Anolis sagrei: one gene and its partners. The protein of the gene in region 2 purifies or fractionates together with the protein of the main gene of each other region. This does not show direct contact. Links are inferred from orthologs where the notes say so. Each region holds a gene or a part of one and is shown on either strand. Other genes may lie near its edges. The genes, in order: USP8, EGFR, LONP1 and SOS1.

Region 1 (7,546 bases), on a different chromosome or scaffold from region 2:
ACAAGACATTACATATATTAGAAACCAACACTTTCTCTCTTTATTTTAGAGATCAACAGACTGGGCCACAGCAACGCATGGCAGGGGACAGCTAGTAAATAAATAAATATTAGAGAATAAAAGAATCTGCGAACCCCACCTCCTCCAAGATGAACTGAACCACCTAAACTGGGCTCTCCAGGCCAATGGAGACTCCACCTCAGACATCAGAAGAGCTGCAAGACAACCGAGAAGAAGCCACGAGAGTAAAGATGAAGATCCACCCAGAGGGAAAGTGTTCCTGCCATACATCAAGGGAACCACTGACCGCATAGGGAAGCTGAGGAGGAAACACAACATACAAACTATCTCCAGACCCACCAAGAAAATCCAACAGATGCTTCGTTCAGCAAAGGACAAGAGGGATCCTCTCACCTCTGCAGGAGTCTACCGTATACCATGCAGCTGTGGGCAAGTCTACATAGGGACCACCAAATGCAGCAGCGTTGCCCAAACACGAATCAAGGAACATGAAAGGCACTGCAGACTACTTCAACCAGAGAAGTCAGCCATAGCACACCGCACTATTTTAATCCTGCGTTCCTCCTGCCATTTCAGCACTTTTAACCCTGTACCCCATTGCGCTGGCCGGCCCAGTTTTAAAGTGTCTTGATGCATCGTTACTGTTGTTGTTATTTTGCTTAACTATTTGATTTGCTTTGTTTATTGTTGTGTTATGTTTTTACTGTATTGTGTTCTGAGGCTTCTGCCTGTGTAAACCGCATCGAGTCCTTCGGGAGATGCTAGCGGGGTACAAATAAAGTTAATAATAATAATAATAATAATAATAATAGCAGAGCACCTGAGGAACCAATCTGGACACAGCAGATTATTTGAGAACACAGAAACGCTGGACCACTCTCACAACCACCATGTCAGACGACACAGAGAAGCCATTCAAATACACAAGCATGTGGACAACTTCAACAGAAAGGAGGAGACCATGAAAATGAACAAAATCTGGCTACCAGTATTAAAAAACTCTAAAATTACAACAGCAAAACAGCAGAGAGGAAAGAACCAGGCACATCTTAACATCTCTCAACGAAAGATTCCCCCAGGCTCAGCCAGGCCTTCAAATGCTAATGAAGGTGGTCAGTTGAAACATTCACCCCTAGCTCCAGCAGACAAGAGTTCTTATTTATTATTTATTTAGTACACTTGTATACCGCTAATATCTCAGCCTAAAACGGCGACTCATTGCGGTTTACAACATTTAAAAACAACAATATTTCGATTAAAAATATAAAACACATACATATACAATACACAGTATTGGGCCACCAATACAGACCAATGCATCTCTTAATTAAAGTTATAATCCAGTTTCGTTGTCTGTGATTGCCAGTCCTTGATCAAAAACTTCATCGCATCGGATTAGCCGAATGCTTGCTCAAACATCCATGTTTTCAGTTTTTTCCGAAATACCATCAGCGAGGTGGCTGATCTTATCTCTATAGGGAGGGCATTCCAAAGCCGCAGGGCCACCACAGAAAAGGCCCTGTCTCTCGTTCCCGCGAGCCGCACCTGTGAAGCAGGCGGGATGGAAAGAAGGGCCTCTCCCGAAGATCTTAGGGTCCTGGTGGGCTGATAGGCCGAGATACGTTCGGATAGATATGTAGGGCCAGAACCGTTTAGGGCTTTAAAGGCCAAAGCCAGCACTTTGAATTGGGCCCGGTAGCTAATCGGTAGCCAGTGGAGCTGGTACAGCAGAGGAGTTGTATGTTCCCTGCGTCCTGCTCCTGTTAATACCATGGCTGCCGCCCGTTGGACTAGTTGGAGCTTCCGGGCCGTCTTCAAAGGCAACCCCACGTAGAGAGCGTTGCAGTAGTCAAGGCGGGATGTAACCAGAGCGTGGACTACCGTGGCCAAGTCAGACTTCCCAAGGTACGGTCGCAGTTGGCGCACGAGTCTTAACTGTGCGAATGCTCCCCTGGTCACCGCCGAAACCTGGGGATCCAGGCTCAGCGATGAGTCCAGGATCACACCCAAACTGCGGACCTGTGTCTTCAGGGGGAGTGCGACCCAGTCTAACACAGGCTGTAACCCTATACCCTGTTCGGCCCTGCGACTGACCAGGAGTACCTCTGTCTTGTCTGGATTCAATTTCAATTTGTTCGCCCCCATCCAGACCGTCACAGCGGCCAAGCACCGGTTCAGGACCTCGACAGCCTCCTTAGTAGCAGGTGGGAAGGAGTGACAGAGTTGGACATCATCTGCTACAGATGACACCATACCCCGAAACTCTTTGCCCCACCCTGGTCATTCCACAGATATATAAATCCTTTTTCCTAGTTCCAACAGACCTCACTACCTCTGAGGATGCTTGCCATAGATGCAGGCGAAACGTCTGGAGAAATGCCTCTAGAACATGGCCGTATAGCCCGAAAAAACCCACAAGAACCCAGTGATTCCAGCCATGAAAGCCTTCGACAATACAATAAAAGTATTCTCTTGCAGATTTCTTCACCTGTGAAGTGCCCTTGAAACCCAAGCTTCGGTGGGACAAGTCAGCTTTTGAACTCACCTTGAACCTAAGCCACACCGTGGAATTAATGCAGTTTGAGACCCTTTTAACTGCCTTGTGGAATGCTTGGGAGTTTCAAGTGTGCCCACTGAACTGGGCCGTGGCAGTTAAAGAGGGCTCACTTGAAACAGCTCTCGTTCCAATTGAAAGGCCTCCCTCTCTCCCTCCCTTGGGCCAAACCCTCTCTGGCTCTCTCTCTGAGGCGCAGAGCAGGCCTCTCCAGGCCCGGCAGGCCTTTCCCCTCGCTCTAGAGGAGGACTCACCCCGGCCCCGGCCTCGCTGTGCTTCCCTTCAGGGCTAGGCCCATCTCCCGGCACCCGAGCAGCTGAGGAAGGAAGGTAGGGAGGAAGGCAGCCCGAGCTTCTCTCGCCTCTCGTTGGCCGGCCGAGGCGGAACTGAGGGGCGGGGAGACGGGACTTCCGCGAAAGGGGCTGGGCCGCCGGAAGTGTCCGAAAGCGGCGGTGGGGGCCTCCGAGAGGGATGAGGTGTCCGTGGCGGGCCTGAAGAGAAAACGAGACGCCCGCGCTCCCCAAGGGACCTGGACGACAGGCGCGTCCGAAGCCTACTCAATAAGCAACACACTGTGGGGGCCTCTTTAAGTGTTTTGGACTTCGAATCCCAGAAGGCCCCGCGAGCCTGTCCAATGGAGAGGAATCCTGGGAATTGCAGTCCAAAACACAAAAGTTCAGAAACTGGCTTTTAACCCAGGATATAATAATAATAATAATAAGAAGAAGAAGAAGAAGAAGAAGAAGAAGAAGAAGTATTAACGTATTAATATAAGTATTAAGAAGATGTAACGGTGGTCCACGCTCTTGTTATATCCCGAATAGACTACTGCAATGCGCTCTATGTGGGGTTGCCCGTGAAGACTGTTCGGAAACTTCAACTAGTCCAGTGAGCGGCAGCCAGATTGCTCACCGGAGCGTCATACAGGGAGCATACCACCCCCCTGCTATGCCAGCTCCACTGGCTGCCGATTCAGTTCCGAGCACAATTCAAGGTGCTGGTTTTGACCTACAAAACCCTGTACGGTTCCGGTCCAGTGTATCTGTCCGAACGTATCTCCCTCTACATCCCGCCTCGGAGTCTGAGATCATCTGGGGAGGCCCTGCTATTGACCCCACCACTGTCACAAGTGAGGCTGGTGGGGACGAGGAGCAGGGCTTTCTCAGTGGTGGCCCCTCACCTGTGGAACACACTCCCGGGGGAAATCAGGGCATCATCATCCCTCCTCGCCTTTAGGAGAAGGGTGAAGACTTGGTTATGGGACCAGGCCTTTGGGCACTCGGGCAATTAAATCAGACAACCAGGCGAGTAAGACCAGCAGGATTGATGAAGTGGAACGTAAAACTAGATCTATGAGTAGCAAACGCTGACCATGCAAGAGGAGAAACTGGGTTTGTATTTGGTTTTATTGATTTTATGGTTATAATGTATATTTGGTGTTAACTGTGTATTGATGTAATTTTGTGTTGATTGTTTTTATGATGCAGGCATCAAATTGTGCCTTGCTTTTGTGAGCCGCCCTGAGTCCCCTTCGGGGTGAGAAGGGCGGGGTAAAAGAACCCCAAATAAATAAATAAATAAATAAATAAATAATCCTTTAGTTGTAAGAACTGGAACCATGAAACTGAGCTAAAGCTTTGGGCAATTTCCTCCCTTGTTTTCAGTTGCAGATTACCTTTTTATTATTATTATTATTATTAAAATGTCCTTATAGATGGGCCAGTTGGACCATCCCAATAACCTTCTCTGTCCTGCTTCAAGGGGGGATATCCACAAAGGAATCTTTGGGTAAAGTTTAGCCCGTACCTTGGGAAGTCTAACTTGGCCACGGTAGTCCACGCTCTGGTTACATCCCGCTTAGACTACTGCAACGCTCTCTACGTGGGGTTGCCCTTAAAGACGGCCCGGAAGCTCCAACTGGTCCAACGGGCGGCAGCCATGATGCTAACAGGAGCAGGACGCAGGGAGCATACAACTCTCCTGCTGTACCAGCTCCACTGGCTGCCGATCTGCTACTGGGCTCAATTCAAGGTGCTGGCGTTGGCCTATAAAGCCCTAAACAGTTCCGGCCCAAGATACCTAACTGACCGCCTCTCGGCCTATGAGCCCACGAGGACTTTGAGATCTTCCGGGGGAGGCCCTGCTCTCAATCCCGCCTGCGTCACAGGCACAGCTGGCGGGGACGAGAGATAGGGCCTTCTCGGTGGTGGCTCCTCGGCTGTGGAACACCCTTCCCGTAGACATGAAGCTAGCGCCCTCCCTGTTGATATTCCGCAGGAAACTAAAGACCTGGCTGTTTAAGAAGGCATTTGAACAAGATGTGCAATGATTGGTAAATTGACCATAGGAATGGAATAACGGAAATGATACCGGATTGTGGGTTTGACGATGAGATGACACGGAATGGCTTTGTAGTAATGTTGATGTTTTGATGAGGATGTTTTTGATAATGATGAATTGTGGATTATTTTACACTATGTCTTGTATTTTGCACCTGTTTTTCTATGTTGTACACCGCAGCGAGTCGCCCCTGGGCTGAGAATTGCGGTCTATAAGCGAAGTAAATAATAATAATAAATAATAAATAAAATCTGGCCCACATTTTCATTAGCACAGATCTAACAATGGTTGTTTAAAAAAAATCCCTTTTGATTTGGTCGTATCAGAAGTACACGTGCCAGCCAATTCCCAGGTCAAAACCCTCCGATTCTAGTATTTTCTCCTTATTTAGTAAGATCCAATCTTTTATCCAGCTTAGACCGCACACTTCGTAATAGAGGTTTAGATCTGGTAGACCTAGCCCTCCTCTGTTCTTCGCGTCAGTCAAATATCCATATTTTATTCTCGGTCTTTTCCCTTTCCAGATAAATTTTAATATTTCTTTATTCCAGGCGTTAAATAATCTATTGTTCCTAATTATTGGTGCATTCTGGAAAAGGTATAATAGCTTTGGAAGCTTTTAAACAGAAGCTGGATGACCATCTGTCAGGGGTGCTTTGAATACAATTTTCCTGCTTCTTGGAAGGGGGTTGGACTGGATGGCCCATGAGGTCTCTTCCAACTCTATGATTTAGCTGTGTGAAAGGGGCCTCAGGTGACCCAGGGCCCTTCCAGACAGGCCCTCTATCCCAGGATCTGTTTCCAGGTTTTATGCTTTAAATTAGATTATGTGTCCACACTGCCAGCTAATCTGGAATAAACAGAAACCCTGGAACCAGATCCTGAGATATAGGATCTGGAAGGGCCTCTAGTACAGACATTGTGGAATTTTCTGCCTTGATATTATTGGTTATATGGTTGTGTGGAAGGGCTCCGAGATCAGATCCTGGGATAGCGGGGTATTGCGGAAGGCCCCTTGAACCCTTCCACACAGCTGTATAAAATCCACATTGAAGAGGATTATATGGCAGATGTAGACTCAGGCCTGAATTTACTTTCTCTGCGATTTTGAGCCTGTTTGAGTATATTCATACTACTGAGAGTATCCTTTGACTATAAGTAAACTAGTTTACCAAGGTTACTCAGATATTCTATCTGTATGCGCTTTCAGAAGCACACGGAAGTGATCAGTATTATTGCTAGGGCAAGGTATCTGGAAATATGACTGCACTTTCCTGAAGGTCATGTTTACAACTTGATGCACTGCCTTTTTCCATCAGCATTTTCCATTTTGTACCAAAAGAACTGCAGTTAGATTTACCTACAGTCTAGTACAATTTTTGTAAAACTGAGGTTAAAATGTGTGATTTATTGCATGAAGGTTTTCAGTAATCAAAACAATTTTGAAATTATTTTGCACCGTTTTTACCATTCTTTTTTTACCTTTTGTATGTTTTAATCATATTTTGTTTTAATTTTCTTGTAGGCTGTCTTGAGCCCAATGTAGGGAAGAACTCAGGATTTACGAATAAAATAATGAATATTTGAGTCAACAGTGAACATGTCACCATAAAAGCTCTATGGCTATGCAAGCTTCAGTACAAAGATCAGTTCCTCCAAACACGTCATAACACACAGCACTAAATACAAGTTGGTAATTTAGTCAGTGTAATTAGGGAAAAGAGACTCCAGATCACAAAACGTTATAACTTGGTTTTATTAACTCGATTTTATGGCAGTATAGAAGGACCTTGATCTTCCTCCAGTCCAGTTACTTAAAAAACTGACCACCACACATTTGGTACCTTGAATGTTTCCCCTGTTTCTGGGTATATTTGGCAGATTGTTTCCAAAAATGCCACCAGTTTCCCCCCAGCAGTTCTGGTTCTTGAGACAGATGCTATCTAACAGTCACAATCTACTTGTCCATAGAAATCAGGATAACCCTATTTAAGAAACTAGAGATAATGCAGTCTATCTAGTGCAATTTTCTGAATCAGCACCCCAAAGAACCCTGGGAATAAACCTAAAAACCAAGACACACTAATATTTTTTTTGTTGGGCTGTTTTACATAGTTTAAAATTGCAAGCACTTGCACTGTTACATTATTATAATCTTTCGTTACCATTCTGGAGTCACCTATCTCTGCTTTTAGTTCCCTTCAGAAGAGTGACTTTAGCCTAGTCTGGGAAACAAAGCACTTCTGATGGACCTGAATAGCTTTGCATAAGAATGATTAATCTCACCTGTAAACTGGATCAATGTAAGATCTGGAACACAGTTCACTCTTTTCTCTACATTGATCAATGATAATCCAACTTGAAACTGACTATATGCATCTCTGAGCTGCTTTGAATCTCATTTGTGGAGAGAGAAAAATGGGTATAAACAATAAATAATAACGAACTTTCTTTAATGCACACAGCAATGGAAGCTGTTACTACCAAACTTCTTTCTGGATGGATTTTTACTGCCATAGAATCCAGATTATCTGCACTGAACTGGATTACATGACAGTGTAGATGAGACCTTGTCTCATACCCCTTCCACACAGCTGAATAAAATCCCAAATTATCTGTTTTGAACTAGAA
Region 2 (7,978 bases):
AGATGTTTGATACTGGTTTCCCTTACTTTTTTCCCCCTCCTCCCTCTTTCACCCCTATTCTTCACTTCCTACTTTTGTTTTAAACCATGTTCACCTACTTTCAGTGTAATAGAAACCAGCTATTGCAGTCATGTCAATGACTTTTTATCTTTGATTAATGTGTGTGTTTATATGTATATGTATATAAATATTATTTATTTGCTACATTTATATACCGCCCCTCCCAGCCTGCAGGAGGCTCAGTGCAGTATGTGTATGTATATATATATATCTATATAAATAAAAATGAAATGTTCGTTTGTGGGATTAACAGAACTCAAAAACCACTGGATGAATTGACACCAAATTTGGACACAAGACATCTAACAACCCAATGTAGGTATGTCCGTCACTCAAAAAATGATTTTGTCATTTGGGAGTTGTAGTTGCTGGGATTTATAGTTCACCTACAATCAAAGAGCATTCTGAACCCCACCAATGATAGAAATGGGCCAAACCTCCCCCACAGAACCCCCATCAGGGCCCCAGCAGCACGTGGCAGGAACAGCTAGTATATATATATATATATATATATACACACACACACACACACACATACACACTAGCCATCCCCTGCCATGCGTTTCTGTGGCCCAGTCTGTGTATATGTGTTTTGTATGTGTGTATATATGTGTTTAAGTGTGTGTATATATTTGTATATATATGTGTGTGTTTGTATATATATGTGTGTGTGTGTGTGTGTGTGTTTATGTGTACATCCATATTGTGTGTATGTGTGTGCTTGTATGTGTATATGTGTGTGCATGTGTATATGTGTACATATAGTGTATTTTTTGAGTTTTTAAGTCTGTTCCACTGGGGTTTTGTGTGTGTGTGTGTTTAGGGGTGATGGACACTCGTTGGACTGTTAGGTGTACCGTGTCCAAATGTGGTGTCAATTTGACTAGTGGTTTTTGAGTTATGCTAACCCCACAAACGAACATTACATTTATATATATATATATGTGTGTGTGTGTGTGTGTCAAAATTTTGTCTATGTCCATGTCATTCACCAATAAAAATGGATTGCAAAAACCAAAAAAACTATGCATCGGTGATGTGCTGTTTGGAAAGATTTGAAATGCTATATTATTATACTACACTAGTGGCCCCCCTGCCACGCGTTGCTGTGGCCCAGTCTGTTGATCTGGAAAATAAAGTAATGAGAAAGTGTTGGTTTCTAATACATGTAGTTTCTTTATGCTTGTGGGTAAACAGTATTTCTTGCTGTTTCTTTGTTGATGTGTTGATGTAGAGATTGTCTAGTTTGCTACTCTGGAGCATGCAATTTATAAATGTCCTTCTTTAGGGGTCCCTTTCAAATCTATGATACTATATCTCTGTGTGAGTGAATCATATCTATCTATCTATCTATCTATCTATCTACATCTATGGCTAGATGACTCTATTTCCCCCAAACTCCACCAGTGTTCACATTTGGGCATATTGAGTATTTGTGTAGAGTTTGGTCCTGATCCATCATTGTTTGAGTCCACAGTGATCTCTGGATGTAGGTGAACTACAACTCCAAAACCACTGCCCACCAAACCCTTGCAGTATTTTCTGTTGGTCATGGGAGAACTGTGTGCCAAGTTTGGTTCAATTCCATTGTTGATGGGGTTCAGAATATTCTTTGATTGTAAGTGAACTATAAATCCCAACAACTACAACTCCCAAATGACAAAATCGGGTTTTTTTTGTTTTTTTTTAGTGATGATCACTCCTTTGGTTGTTAGGAGTATGCTGTCCAAATTTGGTGTCAATTCGTCCAGTGTTTTTTTGAGTTCTGTTAATCCCACAAACGAATATTACATTTTTATTTATATAGATTATTATTATTATTATTATCATCATCATGATGCCATGTAACCATTTCCTAGTACCTTTTTAACGGAATGACCACTCAGGGCCCTTCCAGACATTTTTATTTATATAGATGTCAACATTTTGTCTATGCCCATGTCATTCACCAATAAAAATGAATTGCAAAAACAAAAAAACTATGTGATGCGCTGTTTGGAAAGATCCGAAATGCTATATTATTATATGACATTCTGTATTACTTTGCAAGTTAAGTCTTGATGGGCTGGCTCCCCTTCTGGATTCTAACTGAGAAATCACTCCTTAGCATAACGAAATCAAATGCTACCCCTAATCATATTATATACGAGGGTTAAAACTACAAAACAAAACTATTGCACAACCTGGATGCAGGCATGGGCAAACTGTGGCCCTCCAGGTGTTTTGGACTTCAACTCCCACCATTCCTAACAGCCTCAGGCCCTTTCCTTTTCCCCCTCAGCCGCTTAAGCTTAAGCGGCTGAGGGGGAAAAGGAAGGGGCCTGAGGCTGTTAGGAATGGTGGGAGTTGAAGTCCAAAACACCTGGAGGGCCACAGTTTGCCCATGCCTGCCTGTCAGAAGGGCCATGCCTCTGAGTCGTCTCCCCGGCCTCTCTCTGCTCAAGCGCCCGCCCTTTCCCGGCCTCACTTTCCCCTCAGGCGCGCTTTCCTCACCTCGCTTCTCGTCCGCGGCGGCCAGAGCCAGGAGCAGGAGCGGGAGGGCCCCACAGGACAACCATAGCGAGCCCATCTCCGCCAAGTAGGAAGGAAAGAAGGAAGGAAGGAAGGAGGAAGGAAGGCGCTTGCCTCGCCTCAGCCGCGCTGCTCGCCCTGCCGAGGACTGTTGCAATGTGAGGATGACAACTCCAAGGGGGGAGGAGGGAGGGAGTGAGTGAGGAGGAGAGGAGCCCCCCGCTCCGCCTCTCGCCGGGTCCTCCTCCTTCTCTCTTCAACTCCCAGGAAAACTTTTCTCCTTTTGCGCGCGCGAGGCTGAGGGTCTCCCTCTGCTCTCCCTCTGGTCCGCCACTGGCCTCAATACCTGAGCCCGCCCAGGCGGGGCCTGCTGCTACCTGAAGGGACGGGCCAGAAATTCCAGTCAGGCAAGCTAGGCGAGGCTGAGGCGAGGCAAAGGCTGCTGAAGCGAGCAGCGCGCGCGCACTGCGCAGGCGCGTTCCCTCCCGCGCGCCTCCCGCGTGCAGCATTCGCTCCTTTAGGGTTGCTCGCCCGCCAAGTTTATTTACTTTCTGTTTTGTTCACTTGCAAGGAAGTCGTCTCTGGTTGCTTCTGGATCGAGAGAATCGGCCGTCTACGAAGACGTTGCCCAGGGGACGCCCGGATGTCTTGCAATCCTGCGAGGAGGCTTCTCTCAAGGACCAAGGCAGAGATATCTCCAGCTCATCCCTTGTTTGGGTATCAGCCAGCACATCAACGACTTATAGAATCATAGAATCAAAGAGTTGGAAGAGACCTCATGGGCCATCCAGTCCAACCCCCTGCCAAGAAGCAGGAATATTGCATTCAAATCACCCCTGACAGATGGACATCCAGCCTCTGCTTAAAAGCTTCCAAAGAAGGAGCCTCCACCACACTCCGGGGCAGAGAGTTCCACTGCTGAACAGCTCTCACAGTCAGGAAGTTCTTCCTAATGTTCAGATGGAATCTCCTCTCTTGTAGTTTGAAGCCATTGTTCCGCGTCCTAGTCTCCAAGGAAGCAGAAAACAAGCTTGCTCCCTCCTCCCTGTGGCTTCCTCTCACATATTTATACATGGCTATCATATCTCCTCTCAGCCTTCTCTTCTTCAGGCTAAACATGCCCAGTTCCCTAAGCCGTTCCTCATAGGGCTTGTTCTCCAGACCCTTGATCATTTTAGTCGCCCTCCTCTGGACACATTCCAGCTTGTCAATATCTCTCTTGAATTGTGGTGCCCAGAATTGGACACAATATTCCAGATGTGGTCTAACCAAAGCAGAATAGAGGGGTAGCATTACTTCCTTAGATCTAGACACTATGCTCCTATTGATGCAGGCCAAAATCCCTTAAATCAAGACATAGTTTTCTTAGATCTACAGAGACACTCACTGGAACACCCCAGCAAGCGAGAGTCCAAAAGTGGCAGGCCCAAACCCAGCACCTCAATTCATGGGTGATACCAGATGAGAGACTCCCCCCTGGGCACACAGAAGACTGGGCGACTTGGAAGGCGCTGAACAGACTGCGCTCTGGCACCACGAGATGCAGAGCCAACCTTCAGAAATGGGGCTACAGGGTGGAATCCTTGGCATGCGTGTGCGGAGAAGAACAAACCACTGACCACCTGCTGCAATGCACCCTGAGCCCTGCCACATGCACAATGGAGGACCTTCTTGCGGCAACCCCAGAGGCACTCCAAGTGGCCAGATACTGGTCAAAGGACATTTAACCAAATACCAAATTTGCAAAATCTGTGTGTTTTTTTTCCTTTTTCTTTTTAATCTGTGTGTTTGTTTTGCTCTGTTAGAATTGTAATACAATGGTTGCTGATGACACGATAAATCAGGGGTCCTCAAACTAAGGCCCGGGGGCCGAATGCGGCCCTCCAAGGTCATTTACCCGGCCCTCGCTTAGGGTCAACCTAAGTTTGTAACGACTTGAAAGCACAGAACAACAACAACAATCCTATCTCATCAGTCAAAAGCAGGCCCACACTTCCCATTAAAATACTAATAAATTTATATTTGTTAAAATTGTACTTCATTTTAATTATTGTATTGCATTTAAGTGTTTTTGCACTACAAATAAGATATGTGCAGTATGCATAGGAATTCATTCATGTTTTTTTTCAAATTATAATCCGGCCCTCCAACAGTTTGAGGGACTGTGACATGGCCCTCTGTTTAAAAAGTTTGTGGACCCCTGCCATAGGGATCCAGCTCCAAACAGTAGGGGTTTGGAATCCTCCCCCCTTTACACTTCTTACATGGAATATTGTGTCCAATTCTGGGCACCACAATTGAAAGGAGATATTGACAAGCTGGAATGTGTCCAGAGGAGGGCGACTAAAATGATCAAGGGTCTGGAGAACAAGCCCTTTGAGGAGTGGCTGGGCATGTTTAGCCTGAAGAAGAATCATAGAATCAAAGAGTTGGAGGAGACCTCATGGGCCATCCAGTCCAACCCCCTACCAAGAAACAGGAATATTGCATTCAAATCACCCCTGACAGATGGCCATCCAGCCTCTGTTTAAAAGTTTCCAAAGAAGGAGCCTCCACCACACTCCGGGGCAGAGAGTTCCACTGCTGAACAGCGCTCACACTCAGGAAGTTCTTCCTCATGTTCAGATGGAATCTCCTTTCTTGTAGTTTGAAGCCATTGTTCCGCGCCCTAGTCTCCGCGCCCTAGCAGAAAACAAGCTTGCTCCCTCCTCCCTGTGGCTTCCTCAGGGTAAAAGTATGATAGCTGGATCTGGAAGGCGGGGGGGGGGGAGCTTGCCCCCCCCCCCGAAATTCTCATGGTGGTCCGTGAGAAGGCCTTACTGGTGCATTATTTAAACTGTTACGTTTATTCATATCATGATCTGATCACCATACTCAATATATCCCATATGCATGGGGGTATTGGGGTAACAATACAAAAGGTTTGCTAGGGTAGACCCTCTTTCACTCAGACTCGCCCCCCCCAAATCAAACTTAGCCCCCCCCCCCCCCCAAATCAAAATCCTGGCTATGGGCCTGGTTACGCTGTTTTCGCTTTGCTCCTCAGGAGTGCTATTTGCACAACGCAGAATAATAATAATAATAATAATAATAATAATAATAATAATAATACTTTATTTGTACCCCGCTACCATCTCCCCTGTAAAGGTCCATTGGTTGTTTTGCTTGCTTGCTTGCATGCTGCAAGTCGCTTCTGGTTGCCTCTGGAGCGAGAGAATCGGCCGTCTACGAAGACATTGCCCAGGGGACGCCCGGATGTCTTACAATCCTGCGAGGAGGCTTCTCTCATGTCCCCTATCAACCAATGGCTGATACCAAATGAGAGACTCTCCCCTGGGCACACAGAAGACTGGGCGACTTGGAAGGCGCTGAACAGACTGCGCTCTGGCACCACGAGATGCAGAGCCAACCTTAAGAAATGGGGCTACAAAGTGGAATCCTCGACATGCGAGTGTGGAGAGGAGCAAACCACTGACCACCTGCTGCAACGCAACCTGAGCCCTGCCACATGCACAATGGAGGACCTTTTTGCAGCAACACCAGAAACACTCCAAGTGGCCAGATACTGGTCAAAGGACATTTAATCAACTACCAAACTCACAAATTTTGTATTTTGTCTGTTTGTTTGTTCTGTTAGAAATGTAATATAATTGACTGGTTGCCCTGACACGACAAATAAATAATTTAGGAAGGGGTATTTTGATTTCTCAGCCAGAGAGTTCCTCTAGTGCCTCACCGAACCACAAATTCTGGAAATCCCTAGAATGCAATTGTGGCAGTTAAAGGGGAATTGCAGAGCTATAATTCTACAGTCTGAGCACTCACAGTAAGAAAAAGAGTCTGAAAGGAGAATCAAAAGGGTCAATTTTCTTTAGAAAGCTTGAGCATTTTTTTTCAAAGCCACATCAGTAGCTGAAATTGAATCTATGACACAGATCAAGGTGTAGTAATGGTAGGACCAAAATGATCTGGGTCTTCGAGCAAATCTATGAGAAGGGTCACAATGCTGTGGTTTTTACGTTTATTTAAAAGAGCGTAAGGGGAACATGCAAGAGTGGCCTTTGAGCATACACAGTGTAGAGGAGGTAGACAGAGGTGCCTCCCTCTTTTACAGCATTTGAACTGAAGGTCTTTCAGTAACTCTGAATTGTGGGCACTTCTGGACAGACCAGATGAAATACTTAATTAATCAATGGCCATCCGCCCAAAAGGACTCAAAAGGGATTTGATGGTGAATAAGACTGTCTATGTATGGGGATGAAAGAATACTTCTAAATATTAAATTCTGGGAAATATGAATTTTCACTCTGTAGACCTCCCTAGGCTGAGCGAAGGAAGATAGATGTTTTTGAACTGTGGTGCTGAAGGAAAGTTCTGAGAGTGCCTTGGACAGCGAGAAGATCCAACCAGTCCATACTTCAAGAAATAAAGCCTGACTGTTCATTGGAGGGAAGGATAGTAGAGGCCAAGATGAAGTACTTTGGCCACATCATGTGAAGAAAGGAAAGCTTAGAGAAGACAATGATGCTGGGGAAAATTGAAGGAAAAAGGAAGAGGGGTCGACCAAGGGCAAAATGGATGGATGGTATCCTTGAAGTGACTGGATTGACCTTGAAGGAGCTGGGGGTGGTGACGACCGACAGGGAGCTCTGGTGTGGACTGGTCCATGAAGTCACGGAGAGTTGGAAATGACTGAACGAATGAACAACAAGACTTTCCTATGGCCACTGTCAGGAACTTCTGACCAGAAGTTTATATATCTTTTATATATTTTTATTGATATGTGTTGATTAGATTGATGAACTCTCTGTATTTTTCAGGAACTCTTGCATTTCAGCTATTTTTTTGGGATCCTCCCAGCTCCCACATGGATCTCCCATTTCTTCCATATATTTAGAAATACACTTGAGGTGGCGTGTGGGACAGGCAGGACTGGGATGTGCTTTGGGATAGGGGGCTATGAAGAGGGAGGGAGGAAGGAGAGAAGAAACCACCGGGGATGGAGAACGATGGCTCCTCTTCCATTCCTTCCTCAAGGTGGGAAAATCCCGGAAGAACCCGCTTCGAGGAAGGAGGTTCCTGCAGTAAGGGAAGGAGGTGAGGCCATGTACATCTCACAGAGAATAGGCCCTTGTTGAAAAAAATAGCAAAACACCAACAACTTTATTCTTTAAGAATGTAATAAAAAAGACAAGGCAAACACGGCAATTCCACATTTGAGTAGCTACATTTTCTCACAATTCTTTCTAGTAAATGAGTGATTAAGAGATCTCAGTTTTAGACAAAACAGCATATTCTGGGGTTGTCAGCAATTCTTGGTCACCAAAGCACAAATATTTTTAATGGATGTTGAGGAAAATTATATCTATTAGATCCATTAACATTGTCTAGAGCAGGGGTCCCCAAA
Region 3 (6,864 bases), on a different chromosome or scaffold from region 2:
AAAGTGGGGAGGAAGGCCTTTTGTGACATTCCGCAGAATCTTTGAGAATTGTTCCATTCATTTGGCCCTTTTTTTAGCAGTTGGAAAAATACATAAATTTGAAACCAAGTTGACAAAGATAACCTTGGGTTGAAGAGGAGAAGGTCAGCAGTCACATTTTCCTCACAAATATAGAAAACAAAGAAGCAATTATTGGTTCGGTGAAGCCAACGTCTCTCCTCAAAGGAGGAGCAAAGGGCAACGGAGATGATGAAACAACACTGAAATCTCAATCAATGACTAACTAACTTGGGAGTCAATTCTAACATTGATGAGACCACCAGAAATATAGAAGGATATCTTGGTACTTCTAAGGATGAAAGGAGCTTATTACAAAGAAAAATGCTCTTTGGAGAAAGGAGGAAAGATCTGAGTTCCAAAGATCTCTATTTCAGCTGTTCTAAACTGCCAAAAGTCCTTGAAGAAGGAGAGAGGAATGAAGAGAGGAGCTCTAGAGACGTCAGTTTTATACTTTGTAAACTGCCTTGCTTTCGGGGAAGGAAGGATGAGCCACAAAAGGCTCTGCAACTATTATGCAAGGAACACAAACATATCAATTTCCCCAACCGAAAAATAGGGGTGAGACTATTATGTGATGGTGACTATTACACAATGTAACAAAATATGAAAACATTTTCTGGTTTGAAAGTGTTATTTCCCGTTTACTTGTGCGGTACCTACTTTGAAAGTAATTGTCATACTCCAGAAACTTTGTTTCTGTGGCCACAAACTACGTTAAATTGGTCGAGACTCAATAAGATATTCATTGAAAAACTAGAGCAAAATCTCCTGCAGGATGTCCCTCTGCCAAAATAAAATTTATGTCGTTTAATAAACTTTTTCCATGTCTTTAATGATAGAACCAATTAGAAAATGACATTGATAACTCAGGAAGAAACAAATGTGTTACATGGTGTAATTTGACAAATTCCATGACTGAAGGCCACAGAGAGAGAGAGAAAAACAAGGCTCAAGGACTAAGCAAAATCTGATACTGTGGGCAGAAAGCTCCAGTTAGAATGAATCCTATCCAAGGTCTTTGTGCTCAAATCCTTGAGATGTTCAGTTTGTATTATTATTGTTGTTGTTGTTATTATTATCATCTTTGTAACTATGAATGCATCTATCTATTCATGTAACTACATATGCATCGTTCGTTGCAACTATCTATCTTTGCATCTATTTATATCTATCTATACATCTACCTATCTGTGCACCTACCTATCTCTGCATCTATTATCCATCTATGCATGCATCTATCTACCTTTCTCTGCATCTATCCATCTATCTATGCATGCATGCATCTAACTCTGCATCTATCCATCCATCTATCTCTGCATCTATCTACCTATCTATCTCTACATCTATCCATCCATCTATCCAGCCATCAATCTATTGCTGCATCTATCTATCTCTGCATCTATCCATCTATTTACCTATCTGTTTCTGCATCTATTTATCTCTGCATATATCTATCCATCAGCCTATCTATCAACCTATCTATCTCTGCATCTATACATCTCTGCATCTATACATCTTTTTACCTATCTGTCTCTATATTTATTTATCTCTGCATCTATCCATCCACCTATCTGTGCATCTATCTACCTATCTAGTTCTGCATCTATCTATATCTGTCTATGCAACAATCTATACCTCTATCTATCTGTGCTCCTATCTGTCTGTGAATCTATTATGCATCAATGCCTGCATCTACCTATCTCTGTATCTATCTGCTATCTATCTGTGCATCTATTTTTCTCTGTATCTATCTATCTCTGCATAGATGCAGAGATTTTGGCCTGCATCAATAGGAGCATAGTGTCTAGATCTAGGGAAGTCATGCTACCCCTCTATTCCGCTTTGGTTAGACCACACCTGGAATATTGTGTCCAATTCTGGCCACCACAATTCAAAAGAGATAATGACAAGCTGGAATGTGTCCAGAGGAGGGTGACTAAAATGATCAAGGGTCTGGAGAACAAGCCCTATGAGGAGCGGCTTAAAGAGCTGGGCATGTTTAGCCTGAAGAAGAGAAGGCTGAGAGGAGATATGATAGCACTGTATGAATATGTGAGAGAAAGTCACAGGAAGGAGGGAGCAAGCTTGTTTTCTGCTTCCTTGGAGACTAGGACGCGGAACAATGGCTTCAAACTACAAGAAAGGAGATTCCGTCTGAACATGAGGAAGAACTTCCTGACTGTGAGAGCCGTTCAGCAGTGGAACTCTCTGCCCCGGAGTGTGGTGGAGGCTCCTTCTTTGGAGGTTTTTAAACAGAGGCTGGATGGCCAGCTGTCAGGGGTGATTTGAATGCAATATTCCTGCTTCTTGGCAGGGTGTTGGACTTAATGGCCCATGAGGTCTCTTCCAACTTGATGATTCTGTGATTCTATGCCCCAGGAGTGTGGTGGAGGCTTTGAATCAGAGGCCATCTGTCAGGGGTGATTTGAATGCAATATTCCTGCTTCTTGGCAGGGGGTTGGACTGGATGGCCCATGAGGTCTCTTCCAACTCTTTGATTCTATGATTCTATGGGATCCTGTGGAGCCACTCACCTCGAGAATCTTGATAAAGCGCGGGAAGACGGGGTTCCTAGCCACGGCGACGAGGGGCACCTGTGGGACGTGTTCGGGGACCATGAGGGGCGCCAGCGCCGTCACGACCGGAGGGGTGCCATCGCCGGAGCCAGCGCCCTCCCCTCCGGATTCGCTCCCCTCAGGCCCGTCCCCGGAGGAAGAGGAAAAGGAGGAGGCGCCGCGGGAGAGCAGGAAACGGCGCGGAGAAGAGGCCCACTCCGCCCACGGGAGCCTGGGGCCTCGAGTCAAGGCCAGCCGGCCGCGGCAAGCTCGTAGCGGGGAGGAGAAAGGCGGCGCTCGCCCGCAGCGCCACAGAAGACGGAGCGCGCGTGCTGCTGAGGCAGCAGCCGCCGCCATCTTGCCGGCGCGCGGAATGACAAAACTGCGCTGCGTCGGGACGTCATCACGCACGCTGACGCCGGGAGTCAGGCAAGCAGGCCGACTCGAAAGCAAACTGGCGTCAGACGTCATCACGCACGCATGACACTAGATTTGCTTTGACCACTTGGAGTGCCTCTGGTGTGGCTGAGAGAAGGTCCTCCTCCATGGGGCATGTGGCAGGGCTCAGGCTGGTAGGTGGCCCGTGGTTTGCTCTTCTCCACACCCGCATGTTGTTGACTCCACTTTGGAAGCCCCATTTCCGAAGGTTGGCCCTGCCCAGCCTTCTGTGTGCCCAGGAGGGAGTCTCTCATTTGATTGAGCTTCCAGGTTTTAGCCTGCCACTTTTGGACTCTCGCTTGCTGAAGTGTTCCTGTGAGCGTCTCTGCAGATCTTAGGAAGCGGTGACCAGGGGAGCATTCGCACACCTAAAACTTGTGTGCCAGCTGCGCCCGTACCTTGGGAAGCCTGACTTGGCCACGGTATTATTATTATTATTTATTTACAAGGAGAACCCGGTGGCGCAGTGGGTTATTTATTATTATTATTATTTACCTTATTTATATACCGCTGTTCTCAGCCCGAAGGCGACTCACAGCGGTTCACAACAAATACAAACAGCAAAAATTCAGTGCTACAGTATAGAAACAGTTAACAACCTAACACATTACACAATTAATAAACAGTTACTACAATACCCATTCACTGTCGTCTCGTCATCAAAAACATGTTCCAGATTCGTCATCCATTGTTCCATTCCAGTGTTCATTAACCAATCATTGCACTAATTATTCGAACGCCTGCTCAAACAGCCAGGTCTTTAGGACAATGGGTTTATATATCTGTGGAATGGCTGGGGTGGGGCAAAGAGCTTTTCTCTGCTGGAGCTAGGTGTGAATGTTTCAACTGTTGTAATTTTAGAGTGAACAAAATCTGGCTACCAGTATTAAAAAAACTCTAAAATTACAACAGCAAAACAGCAGAGAGGAAACAACCAGGTACATCTTAACACCTCTCAACAAAAGATTTTCCCAGTCTCAGCCAGGCCTTCAAATGCTAATGAAGGTGGTCAGTTGAATCATTCACACCTAGCTCCAGCAGAGAAAAGCTCCTTGCCCCACCCCAGCCATTCCACAGATATATAAACCCATTGTCCTTATTCCAACAGACCTCACTACCTCTGAGGATGCTTGCCATAGATGCAGGAGAAACGTCAGGAGAAATGCCTCTAGAACATGGCCCTATAGCCCAAAAAAACCCACAAGAACCTAGTGATTCCAGCCATGAAAGTCTTCGACAATACATTATTATTATTATTACTATTATTATTATTAACTTTATTTGTTTCCCGCTAGCATCTCCCGAAGGACTCGATGCGGCTTACAAAGGCCAAGGCTTCAAAACACAACATAACAATACACAACCTAAAGCAAATTAAAAACAGTTAAAGCAATATTAAACAACAAGCAATAAAACAATACATCAGGACACAATAAAACTGGGGCCGGGCCAGAGTAATGGGTACAGATTAAAAGTGCTGATGTGACAGGTGATATGTAAGGATTATAGGGTAAGTGCAGTGTGCCAGCAATTTTAATTTCTAATAAAGTGCTTCTGGGACTTGTTGGAGTTTTCCTATTCTGGAAAGGCACATCGGAACAGCCAGGTCTTCAAGTTCTTTCTGAAGACTGCCAACGTAGGGGCCTGTCTAAGATCTTTGGGGAGGGCGTTCCAAAGTCAGGGGGCCACCACAGAGAAGACCCTGTCCCTAGTCCCCACCAAACGCGCCTGCAACGCAGGTGGGATCGTGAGCAGGGCCTCTCCGGATGAATGAAGTGAGCGCAAGGGTTCATAAACGGAGATGTGGTCACGCAGGTAGGATGGTCCCAAACCGTTTAGGGCTTTGTAGGTTAGCACCTGCACCTTAAATTGGGTTCAGAAGATAAATGGCAGCCAGTGGAACTCCTTGAACAGGAGGGTTGACCTCTCTCTGTAAGGAGCACCAGTTAACATCCTGGCCGCTGCCCATTGGACCAGTTGAAATTTCTGAGCCGTTTTCAAGGGCAGCCCCACGTTGATGGGAGTGAGAGCAGGGCCTCCCTGGATGATCTTAAATTGCGAGGTGGGACATAGGGGCAGATGCGTTCGGACAAGTACGCTGGGCCTGAACCGTATAGAGCTTTATAGGTCAAAATCAGCACTTTGAATTGGGTTCGGAGATGGACCGGCAGCCAGTGGAGCTGGCATAGCAGGGGGGTGGTATGCTCCCTTTATGCTGCCCCAGTTAGTAATCTCACTGCCACCCGTTGAACTAACTGAAGTTTCCGAACCGGCTTCAAAGGCAGCCCCACGTAGAGCGCGTTGCAGTAATCTATTCGGGATGTAACCAGAGCGTGGACCACCATGGCCAGATCAGACTTCCCAAGGGTTACTTTTAAAAAGTCAAATTGCAATTGTACAAAATACATAAGGTTGTGGGTGAACTACAACTCATATCATGTCAGATTAACCCCCGAAACTCCATCATCACTTAAAGTTAGTTATGTTGGGCAAGTTTGCTCTAGATGCATCATCGGTGGGGTTCAGTGTGCTCTCTGACCGTCGGGTGAACTACAATTCCCACTATGGTGAGTCAGTCCCCTCAAATCCCTCCAGTAGATTGAGTTAGTCATGGGGGTCCTGTGTGCCAAGTTTGGACTAGGTCCATCATCGGTGGAAGTCAGTTTCTCTGGTTGTGGTTGAACTATAACTCCCAGAAAGGAAGGTCAGTTTCCCCCCAAACCCTTCCAGTAATCAATTTCAGCATATTGGGTATGCGTGCCAAGTTTGGCCCAGATCCATCGGTTTTTGGGTTCACAGTGTTCTCTGGATGTAGGTGAACTACAACTCCTCCAAATCCCTTCAGTATGTTTTGTGTGCCAAGATTGGTCCAATTCCATCTTTGGTAAAGTTCAGAGTGCTCTTAGATTGCAAGTGAATTATACATCCCAGTACCTACAACTCCTATAAATCATGGTGAATTCTCCCCAAAACTCTCTAGTATGTTGAGTTGGTGATTAATTCCTCTGTTGTGTGCCATAGAAAAGAATAAGAAAGGGTTGAGAGGCAGTGGGCAGGGTCATGCAAATTCCACACCAATGGAGAGAGTACGAAATACTGGGTTGTCTGTGGTGAAGGAAACACATAAAATCTGGATGAAGTTGTGCCTTCTCTTGGGTGGTGAGCAGTGTGGTGTTGGTGGAGCACATTAGCAGAGCTCCTGGACATGTTCATGGTGTTCACTATAACCTGCAGTGTCATTGGAGGGAGGACCATTGGTGTCTCCTGAGTAATGGGAACTATAGCTGTTTGGGAAAGTCTATTAAACTGCAAAAACTTTGTTTCTGTGTGCTGTAACACATTTTGTGGTACTTTTTCAACGAACATCTCAACTAATACAACATAGACTGTGGGACAAAAACGGAAGTTTCTGGAGGAGAACTACTTTCAAAATAACGACCGCACAACATAGTTAAATACATCTATAAAATTACATTTTTAAACATACCATATTTAATCTCATAATAGTCACACACCCTTTTGGGGGGTGACAAAATTGGTATATTTGTGTTCCTCACATAATAGTCGCAGAGCCATTTGGGGCTGGTTCTTCCTTCCTTCTCTGAACAATGAAACAGGAAATAGCACATTCAAGCAAGAAACAAAAATGTTTTCCAATTTTGCTACATAGTGAAATAGTCTCAACCCCTTTGTTTTATGAGTGGGGAAATTGACATTTTTGTGTTCCTTGCATAATAGTCGCAGAGCCATTTGTGGCTGATCCTTCCATCCCCCAAGGATTCCAATGTTTTTGTGTTCCTTGCACAATAGT
Region 4 (7,723 bases), on a different chromosome or scaffold from region 2:
AACCCAATAACCTGTGTGAATGGTGTATTCCCTGTACCAAAAATCCCATGCAATATGCCGGGGTTTATTCAGGAAACACATTAATTTCTCTTAAGGCCAGAAGCTTAAAACCTACTGCCATATGGGAATACACCCACAGAACAACTGTTCTTCGTATGAAAATGAGTTGTCGGTTACCGCAGCAATGAATTAATTGTCTTAATTTGGCCTTTTTTCTTTTAAAAAATATTTGGCCTTACTACTGTTTTTCACATTTTCCTTTTAATGTCTTAACACCCGGCCAAAATGATTTAGTTACTACCTCACACAAACAATTTAAATGATTTATTACACATCACAGGAATTTTTAATTTTGAGCGAAAAGATTTTTGATTGTTTTCCAATGCAGTAATATGTATATGCCAAGTTTTAGCTGGGAAATGCACATATTGGCTTTTTTTGTATATGTTCTTTATACTGTGATATAAACTAAGAATAACTACATTAAAAGTGATTTATGGTCTGTATCGATGTTGTTGGTAATGCTTTTGGATATTTCCTAATGTATATAATGTAAAATAAACTTTTTTTAACATGTTTGTTGTATATCTGGATTGCCATCTGCACTCATTTTCTGAAGAAATTAAACATCTGAGGAATGGACAAAGCATCTTAACTAAAATACTGTAATGGAGCATAAAATTAGGCAGTCTCTTAAAGGTCATCTACCAAACCACTTCATAAACTTTGGGTCTTTGCTCAGTGTTGGTGTCATAAAACATTTGGCAACAATAAAGTTTCTGAATGCTACCCATTTACATGAGCCTGCTAGCAACAACATGCAGTCTTTACAGTGGACTCTGCAGAAAATGCTTCAGCTGTAGTTCATAAAAAGAAAGATCAGCCTGAAAATACTGATGTATTATCAGTAAACATTAGAGTTTTACAGTTATATGTCTAGGGTCATGTAAAAGTTTCTCAGGTAGAAAGCGGTTGTGAGTAATGGTAAAGAAATGGTGAAATATTGCGTAACACTCAAACTATCCTACAAATATGATCTGACTATTTTCCCTACAGTAATATAGAATTTCCCCTCCCACCAGTAATAAGCTCTGTTCCAGTCTTCGGCCCAGTACCAGCTATCACAGTCACTGAAGTAAATGCAGCCATACAAAGAAAGAAGCATAGAAAGGCCACTGGCCCAGATGACATACCAGCTGAAATTTGGAAAATGCTCAAAGACTGTGGTGCTACATTTCTAGCATCACTATTTTTTAATTTTTATTGTTTTATAGTGTACACAAGAAGCAAAGCAGACAACAGAAAAACAAAAAAGGGAAAAAAGAGAAAAGAAAAAAAGATCTACAAAAGAGCAAGCAAGTTTACACAAAGGTATATAGTCAGCGCTCATTAAACTTATGAAAAATCAAATTGGACTATGAAGTCACATAGCTGTTGCACCAATGGATAAAGCTACTATACAATGATACAAGTATGGTCAGCTGCCCTGCAGAGATTTCACCACCCTTCAACATCACTGTTGGCGTGCTTCAAGGATCAGCACTCTCAACATTACTATTCAGACTCTGCATGGACTAGGCAGACTATGTGTCCCTGGACTCTCATATATGCAGATGACCTAGCACTTGGTCATTGAAAACGTGCAGCCTTTGTTTCTAGCGCCCATTTTTTGCTTGATATTCAGGCAGTGCTTCTTGTAGGTCAGAGCACAGTCCAGAGTGACTCCCAGGTATTTCGGTGCGCTGCAGTGCTCCAGTGGGATTCCTTCCCAGGTAATAATCCTCAGAGCTCGGGATGCTTGTCTGTTCTTAAGGTGAAAGGCACATGTCTGTGTTTTAGATGGATTAGAATCAGCTGGTTTTCCCTGTAGTAGGCGGTAAGGGTACTTGTGCTATGAGCTTCTGTTCAACCATCTCAAAGCTCCCTACTTGAGCGGTAATGACATAATCATCGTCCTTAAGATTTTTTTTTTGTCAGGAGTGACTTGAGAAACAGCAAGTTGCTTCTGGTGTGAGAGAATTGGCCGTCTGCAAGGACGTTGCCCAGGGAACGCCCAAATGTTTTGATGTTTTATCATCCTTGTGGGAGGCTTCTCTCATGTCCCCGCATGAGGAGCTGGAGCTGGTAGAGGGAACTCATCCGCACTCTCCCCGGATTCGAACCTACGACCTGTTGATCTTCAGTCCTGCTGGTGCAGGGGTTTAACCCACTGTGCCACCCAGGGCTCGTTGTCCTTAAGATAAAACTCAGGGTTAAATAGGCCTGAAACCAGGTTCTTGTGGGTTTTTTCGGGCTATATGGCCATGTTCTAGAGGCATTTTCCCCTGACGTTTCGCCTGCATCTATGGCAAGCATCCTCAGAGGTAGTGAGGTCTGTTGGAATTAGGAAAATGGGTTTATATATCTGTGGAATGTCCAGGGTGGGGCAAAGAACTCTTGTCTGCTGGAGCTAGGTGTGAATGTTTCAACTGTCCACCTTCATTAGCATTAGAAGGCCTGGCTGAGCCTGGGGGAATCTTTTGTTGAAAGGTGTTAAGATGTGCCTGGTTGTTTCCTCTCTGCTGTTTTGCTGTTGTAATTTTTGAGTTTTTTAATACTGGTAGCCAGATTTTGTTCATTTTCATGGTCTCCTCCTTTCTGTTGAAATTGTCCACATGCTTGTGGATTTCAAAGGCTTCTCTGTGTAGTCTGACATGATGGTTGTTGGTGTGGTCCAGCATTTCTGTGTTCTCAAATAATATGCTGTGTCCAGGTTGGTTCATCAGGTGCTCTTCTATGGCTGACTTCTCTGGTTGAAGTAGTCTGCAGTGCCTTTCATGTTCCTTATTTATTTATTTACTTTGCTTATATACCGCTGTTCTCAGCCCGGAGGCGACTCACAGCGGTTCACACACAGTAAAAACAGCAATAATTCAATGCAACACGTAACAATAGACCACTTAACACATTATCCACTAATAAACAATAAGCAATTATAATAACAGTTATTACAATAACCAAACCCAATCGTCTCATCGTCAAAGCCTAGTCCAGGTTCATTGTCCATTGTTCCATTCCTATGTTCAATTACCAAATATTGCACTAGATTACTCGAACGCCTGCACAAACATCCAGGTCTTAAACTTTTTTTGGAATGCCATGAGGGATGGTGCCAGCCTAATGTCCGTAGGAAGGGTGTTCCACAGCCGAGGGGCCACCACCGAGAAGGCCCTATCTCTCGTCCCCGCCAACCGTGCTTGAGAAGCCGGCGGGATCGAGAGCAGGGCCTCCCCGGAAGATCTCAAAGTTCTGGTGGGTTCATAGGAGGAGATGCGTTTGGACAGGATTTGGGCCGGAACCGTTTAGGGCTTTATAGGCCAACGCCAACACCTTTAATTGAGCCCAGTAGCAGATCGGCAGCCAGTGGAGCTGTCGCAACAGGGGGGTTGTATGCTCCCTGCGCTCCGCTCCTGTTAGAATCATGGCTGCCGCACATTGGACTAATTGAAGCTTCCGGGCCGTCTTCAAGGGCAGCCCCACGTAGAGAGCGTTGCAGTAGTGTAGGCGGGATGTAACCAGAGCGTGGACTACCGTGGCCAAGTCAGACTTCCCAAGGTACGGGCGCAGCTGGCGCACAAGTTTTAGCTGTGCAAATGCTCCCCTGGTCACCGCTGAAACCTGGGGTTCCAGGCTCAGCGATGAGTCCAGGGTCACACCCAAGCTGCGAACCTGCGCCTTCAAGGGGAGTGCGACCCCATCCAGCACAGGCTGTAACCCTATGCCCTGTTCGGCCTCGTGTTTGGGCAATGCTGCGTTTGGTGGTCCCTATGTAGACTTGTCCACAGCTGCATGGTATACGGTAGACTCCTGCAGAGGTGAGAGGATCCCTCTTGTCCTTTGCTGAATGGAGCATTTGTTGGATTGGCCTGAAAACGCATCTCCACCTATGAACCGATGCGGACATTAAGATCGCTCTCGGTCCCGCCTGCGTCACAGGCACGGTTGGCGGGGACGAGGGACAGGGCCTTCTCGGTGGTGGCCCCTCGGCTATGGAATGCCCTACCTGTAGACATCAGACGCTGCTGGCGTTCCGGAGGAAGGTTAAGACTTGGCTCTACGAGCAAGCGTTTGGCTAAACAGTGCAACTGAACACAGGAAGACGGTAAAATTGAACATAGGAATGGCACAAGGATTATGAGAATTGATTTTGTTCTGTTATCGAGGCGTCATGAATTGATAATAATTGTTGATTTTGTTGTTGTGTATGATGTGTTTTTAACTGTTTATTGTTGTGATAACCTGCATTGTGTAAACCGCATTGAGTCGCCTAATTAGGCTGAAAAATGTAGAAATAAAGCAAATAAATAAATAAATAAAACCAATTTGTTGAAAAGGCCTGAAACCCTTTCAGTATTGAAATGACTAATAAAAAAAATACTTGAGTCCTCCAGGCCGCAGGTGGCGCTGTGATCAGAAGGGGTAGGTGGCGGTATGACAAGAGGTGCTCTGCTTTGCTGTCTTCCCTCCACCACCGATCATGAAAACACTTCGGCGTTCGACTAGCAAGCCTGGAAGTGGCGAGGGGAGGGGGAGCAAGGTTGTGGAAGGAAGCTCGAGGGCTCGGCTCTCGACTCGCACGCCTGGACGGCGCGGAAAAGGGAAGAAGCGAGGCCAGGACTGGAGCGAGAGGGGGGCGGAGCCAGAGGAGGAGGAGGGGAGGGGGAGCGCGCCGCGACTGCGCATGCCCGGTCGGCCTTTGTGCCCACTGCGCACGCGCCGGAGGTTGCAACCGTCAGGGACGGCAAGGGAAGCGCCCCCGAGAGTTCGAAGCCCTCTTTGGCTCCCTCCCTCAGCCACCGTTGCTTTGCGGCCTGCACTTCCGCTTCCTTCCTGTCAGGGCCGAGGAGAAGCAGAAGGAGAAGGATGCCGGAGAGCCCGGGGTCTGCGTGAGGCGAGGCCGGGAAGGGAGGGATGTCGCCGGCGCCGGGCCTCCACGCCGGGTCCTGGCCCCAGCCTCAGCCTCAGCGGCGCCCTCCGCCTCGGCCCTGCGCAGGTTCGGCCCGGGCCCAGCGACAGGGACAGGCCCCACCAGGCCGGGCTGGGCCCCAGCACTGACTCCGCCGCTTCCCCGACGCCGAGGGCCCGGGACGGGGCGGGCAGGATGCAGGCGCCGCCGCTGCAGTACGACTTCTTCAGCGAGGAGAACGCGCCCAAGTGGCGGGGCCTGCTGGTGCCCGCCTTGAAGAAGGTGAGTCCCGTGTTTCCAAGGAGGAGAAGCAGGGCATCTTCTCATGTTTATTTATATCCCGCTTTGTGTCTCCCTAGGGAGACTCAAAAGCGGTTCGCAACTCAAGCGTGGCAATACAACCTCAAATATACACGTATTAAACGTCATTGAAAGCAGGTCAGATCACTGACTAGATCTCCAAAACGGAGATCATGAAACAAAGCTAGAAGTTTGTTGTTTAACTTCAACTCTGGCCCCTTCCACACAGCTAAACAAAAACCTATAATAATAATACAACGACGGATTCTCCCCTATGAACCATCAAGGTTGTTAAAGATCTGGAGGGGCCCTGCTCTCGGTCCCACCTCCTTTACAATCGCGTCTGGTGGGGATGAGGGACAGGGCCTTCTCGGTGGTGGCCCCTCAGCTCTGGAACTCATCTTCTGATGTTTATTTATATCCCGCTTTGTCTCTCCATAGGAGACTCAAAAGCGGTTCGCAACTAAAGCGTGGCAATACAACTTCAAATATACATGTATTAAACGTCATTGAAAGCAGGTCAGATCAGTGACTAGATCTCCAAAACGGAGATCATGAAACAAAGCTAGAAGTTTGTTGTTTACCTTCAACTCTGGCCCCTTCCACACAGCTGAACAAAAACCTATAATTAATTAATTAATTAATTAATTTTACTTCTATACCACTGTTCTCAGCCCGGGGGCGACTCACAGTGGTGTACAACATAGGAACAGCAAAATTCACGACACAGTATAAAAACAATTCACAATCCAGCATTATACAAAAACATCATTACTACGAAAACCATTCAGCGTCGTCTCATCGTCCAAACCACAATCCAATATAATTTCCCGTTGTTCCGTTCCTGTAGTCATTACCAACCATTGCACTTCTTATTCGAATGCCTTCTTGAACAACCAAGTCTTTAATTTCCTGCGGAATATCATCAGGGAAGGTGCCAGTCTAATGTCCACGGGAAGGGTGTTCCACAGCCAAGGAGCCACCACCGAGAAGGCCCTATCTCTCGTCCCCGCCAGCCGTGCTTGTGAAGCAGGCGGGATCAAGAGCAGGGCCTCTCCGGAAGATCTCAAAGTCCTGGTGGGCTCATAGGTCGAGATGCGGTTGGATAGGTATCTTGGGCCGGAACCAGTTTTGTATACTGGTCTTCTTCTCACCTCCGTTCGAGGGACTCAGGCCGGTTTCCAACATCAATATTACAGACAGTCATTAAAACATCATATTCTAAATCACACTAAAACATTAAAATAGCAAAATACAATCATATAATTGCAGTGGTCAGTCATCATCAAAAATCATTATTCATCGTCACCCATCCATGTCACAGGATCATGGCTCATTCGTCGAATGCCAATCCCCAAAGCCAAATTTTCACCTGTTTCCTGAACGTTAAGATAGAAGGGGCAGTTCTGATCTCCAGTGGAAGGGAGTTCTAGAGTCAAGGGGCCACCATCAAGAAGGCCTGGTCTCTCGTCCCCACCAGCCGCGCCTGTGAGGCCAGTGGGATCAAGAGCAGGGCCCCTCCAGACGATCTTAGCAATCTTGATGGTTCATAGGGGAGGATACGTTCGGACAGGTAAATTGGGCTGGAGTCGTTTCGTATTATTATTGTTATTATTATTATTATAACAACAACAACAATAACAACGGATTCTCACCTATGAACAACAACAGATTCTCCCCTATGAACCATCAAGGTTGTTAAGATCTTCTGGAGGGGCCCTGCTCTCGGTCCCACCTCCTTCGCAATCGCGTCTGGTGGGGACGAGGGGCACGGCCTTCTCGGTGGTGGCCCCTCGGCTCTGGAACTCTCTCCCGTTGGAGATTAGATCTGCCCCTTCCCTCCTGACTTTCAGAAAGCTGGTAAAATCTTGGCTTTGGAATATAGCATTTGCAGAATGATGATTGAGTCAATAACGGCTGACCATACTGGCAGATGGTGATGAATTTGTGATTTTACTCTGACGACCTGGATTTGTAATTGTATGATCTGTATTTTAATGTATTTTTGTATTAATGTATTATGATGCTATTATGTTTATTCTATGTGTGTATGAATTTTCTGCTGTTAGCCGGCCTGAGTCCCTCTTCAGAGGTCGAGAAAACCAGGTTATAAAAGCTCTAAATAAATAAAGAAACTTTATTTTTGTGCCCCACCTCCATCTCCCTGAAGGAGCTTATGGTGGCTTACATATGGCACAATGTGCCTAAAGCAACGCATTAAACATACCATAGTCAGTTGTTCAGCAATTTTAAAAACTTGACATTATACAAAATTTCCTTTGACCAGAAGTTGGCCATGTTGGGTGCCGCTTTTATTTATTTGGTTTTTTATTATTACAACACTTTTATGCCGCCCTTCTCACCCCAAAGGGAACTCAGAGCGGCTTACAAGATATATATATATATATAATATATTATATTATTAGCATAGCACAATATCTGTATTATATATTACTATATTTATTTTATTTATTTTAT

What was found.
Region 1: the proteins of EGFR (region 2) and USP8 purify together in Homo sapiens (affinity purification with western blotting; 6 studies listed by BioGRID). This does not show direct contact. The link is inferred for Anolis sagrei from reciprocal best matches to the Homo sapiens genes EGFR and USP8.
Region 3: the proteins of EGFR (region 2) and LONP1 purify together in Homo sapiens (affinity purification with mass spectrometry; 3 studies listed by BioGRID and IntAct, with this or other methods). This does not show direct contact. The link is inferred for Anolis sagrei from reciprocal best matches to the Homo sapiens genes EGFR and LONP1.
Region 4: the proteins of EGFR (region 2) and SOS1 purify together in Homo sapiens (affinity purification with mass spectrometry; 14 studies listed by BioGRID and IntAct, with this or other methods). This does not show direct contact. The link is inferred for Anolis sagrei from reciprocal best matches to the Homo sapiens genes EGFR and SOS1.

The regions. Positions count from the first base shown.
Region 1 is NC_090029.1:32,021,562-32,029,107, forward strand, and holds the start of USP8 (ubiquitin carboxyl-terminal hydrolase 8), read right to left. Parts: upstream 3,012-7,546; 5' UTR 2,830-3,011; intron 216-2,829; 5' UTR 140-215; intron 1-139. UniProt on the Homo sapiens protein: Hydrolase that can remove conjugated ubiquitin from proteins and therefore plays an important regulatory role at the level of protein turnover by preventing degradation. Converts both 'Lys-48' an 'Lys-63'-linked ubiquitin chains.
Region 2 is NC_090026.1:66,069,788-66,077,765, reverse strand, and holds the start of EGFR (epidermal growth factor receptor), read right to left. Parts: upstream 3,001-7,978; 5' UTR 2,630-3,000; coding exon 2,554-2,629; intron 1-2,553. UniProt on the Homo sapiens protein: Receptor tyrosine kinase binding ligands of the EGF family and activating several signaling cascades to convert extracellular cues into appropriate cellular responses.
Region 3 is NC_090034.1:58,402,848-58,409,711, reverse strand, and holds the start of LONP1 (lon protease homolog, mitochondrial), read right to left. Parts: upstream 3,009-6,864; 5' UTR 2,973-3,008; coding exon 2,595-2,972; intron 1-2,594. UniProt on the Homo sapiens protein: ATP-dependent serine protease that mediates the selective degradation of misfolded, unassembled or oxidatively damaged polypeptides as well as certain short-lived regulatory proteins in the mitochondrial matrix.
Region 4 is NC_090021.1:22,282,408-22,290,130, reverse strand, and holds the start of SOS1 (son of sevenless homolog 1), read left to right. Parts: upstream 1-4,723; 5' UTR 4,724-5,140; coding exon 5,141-5,227; intron 5,228-7,723.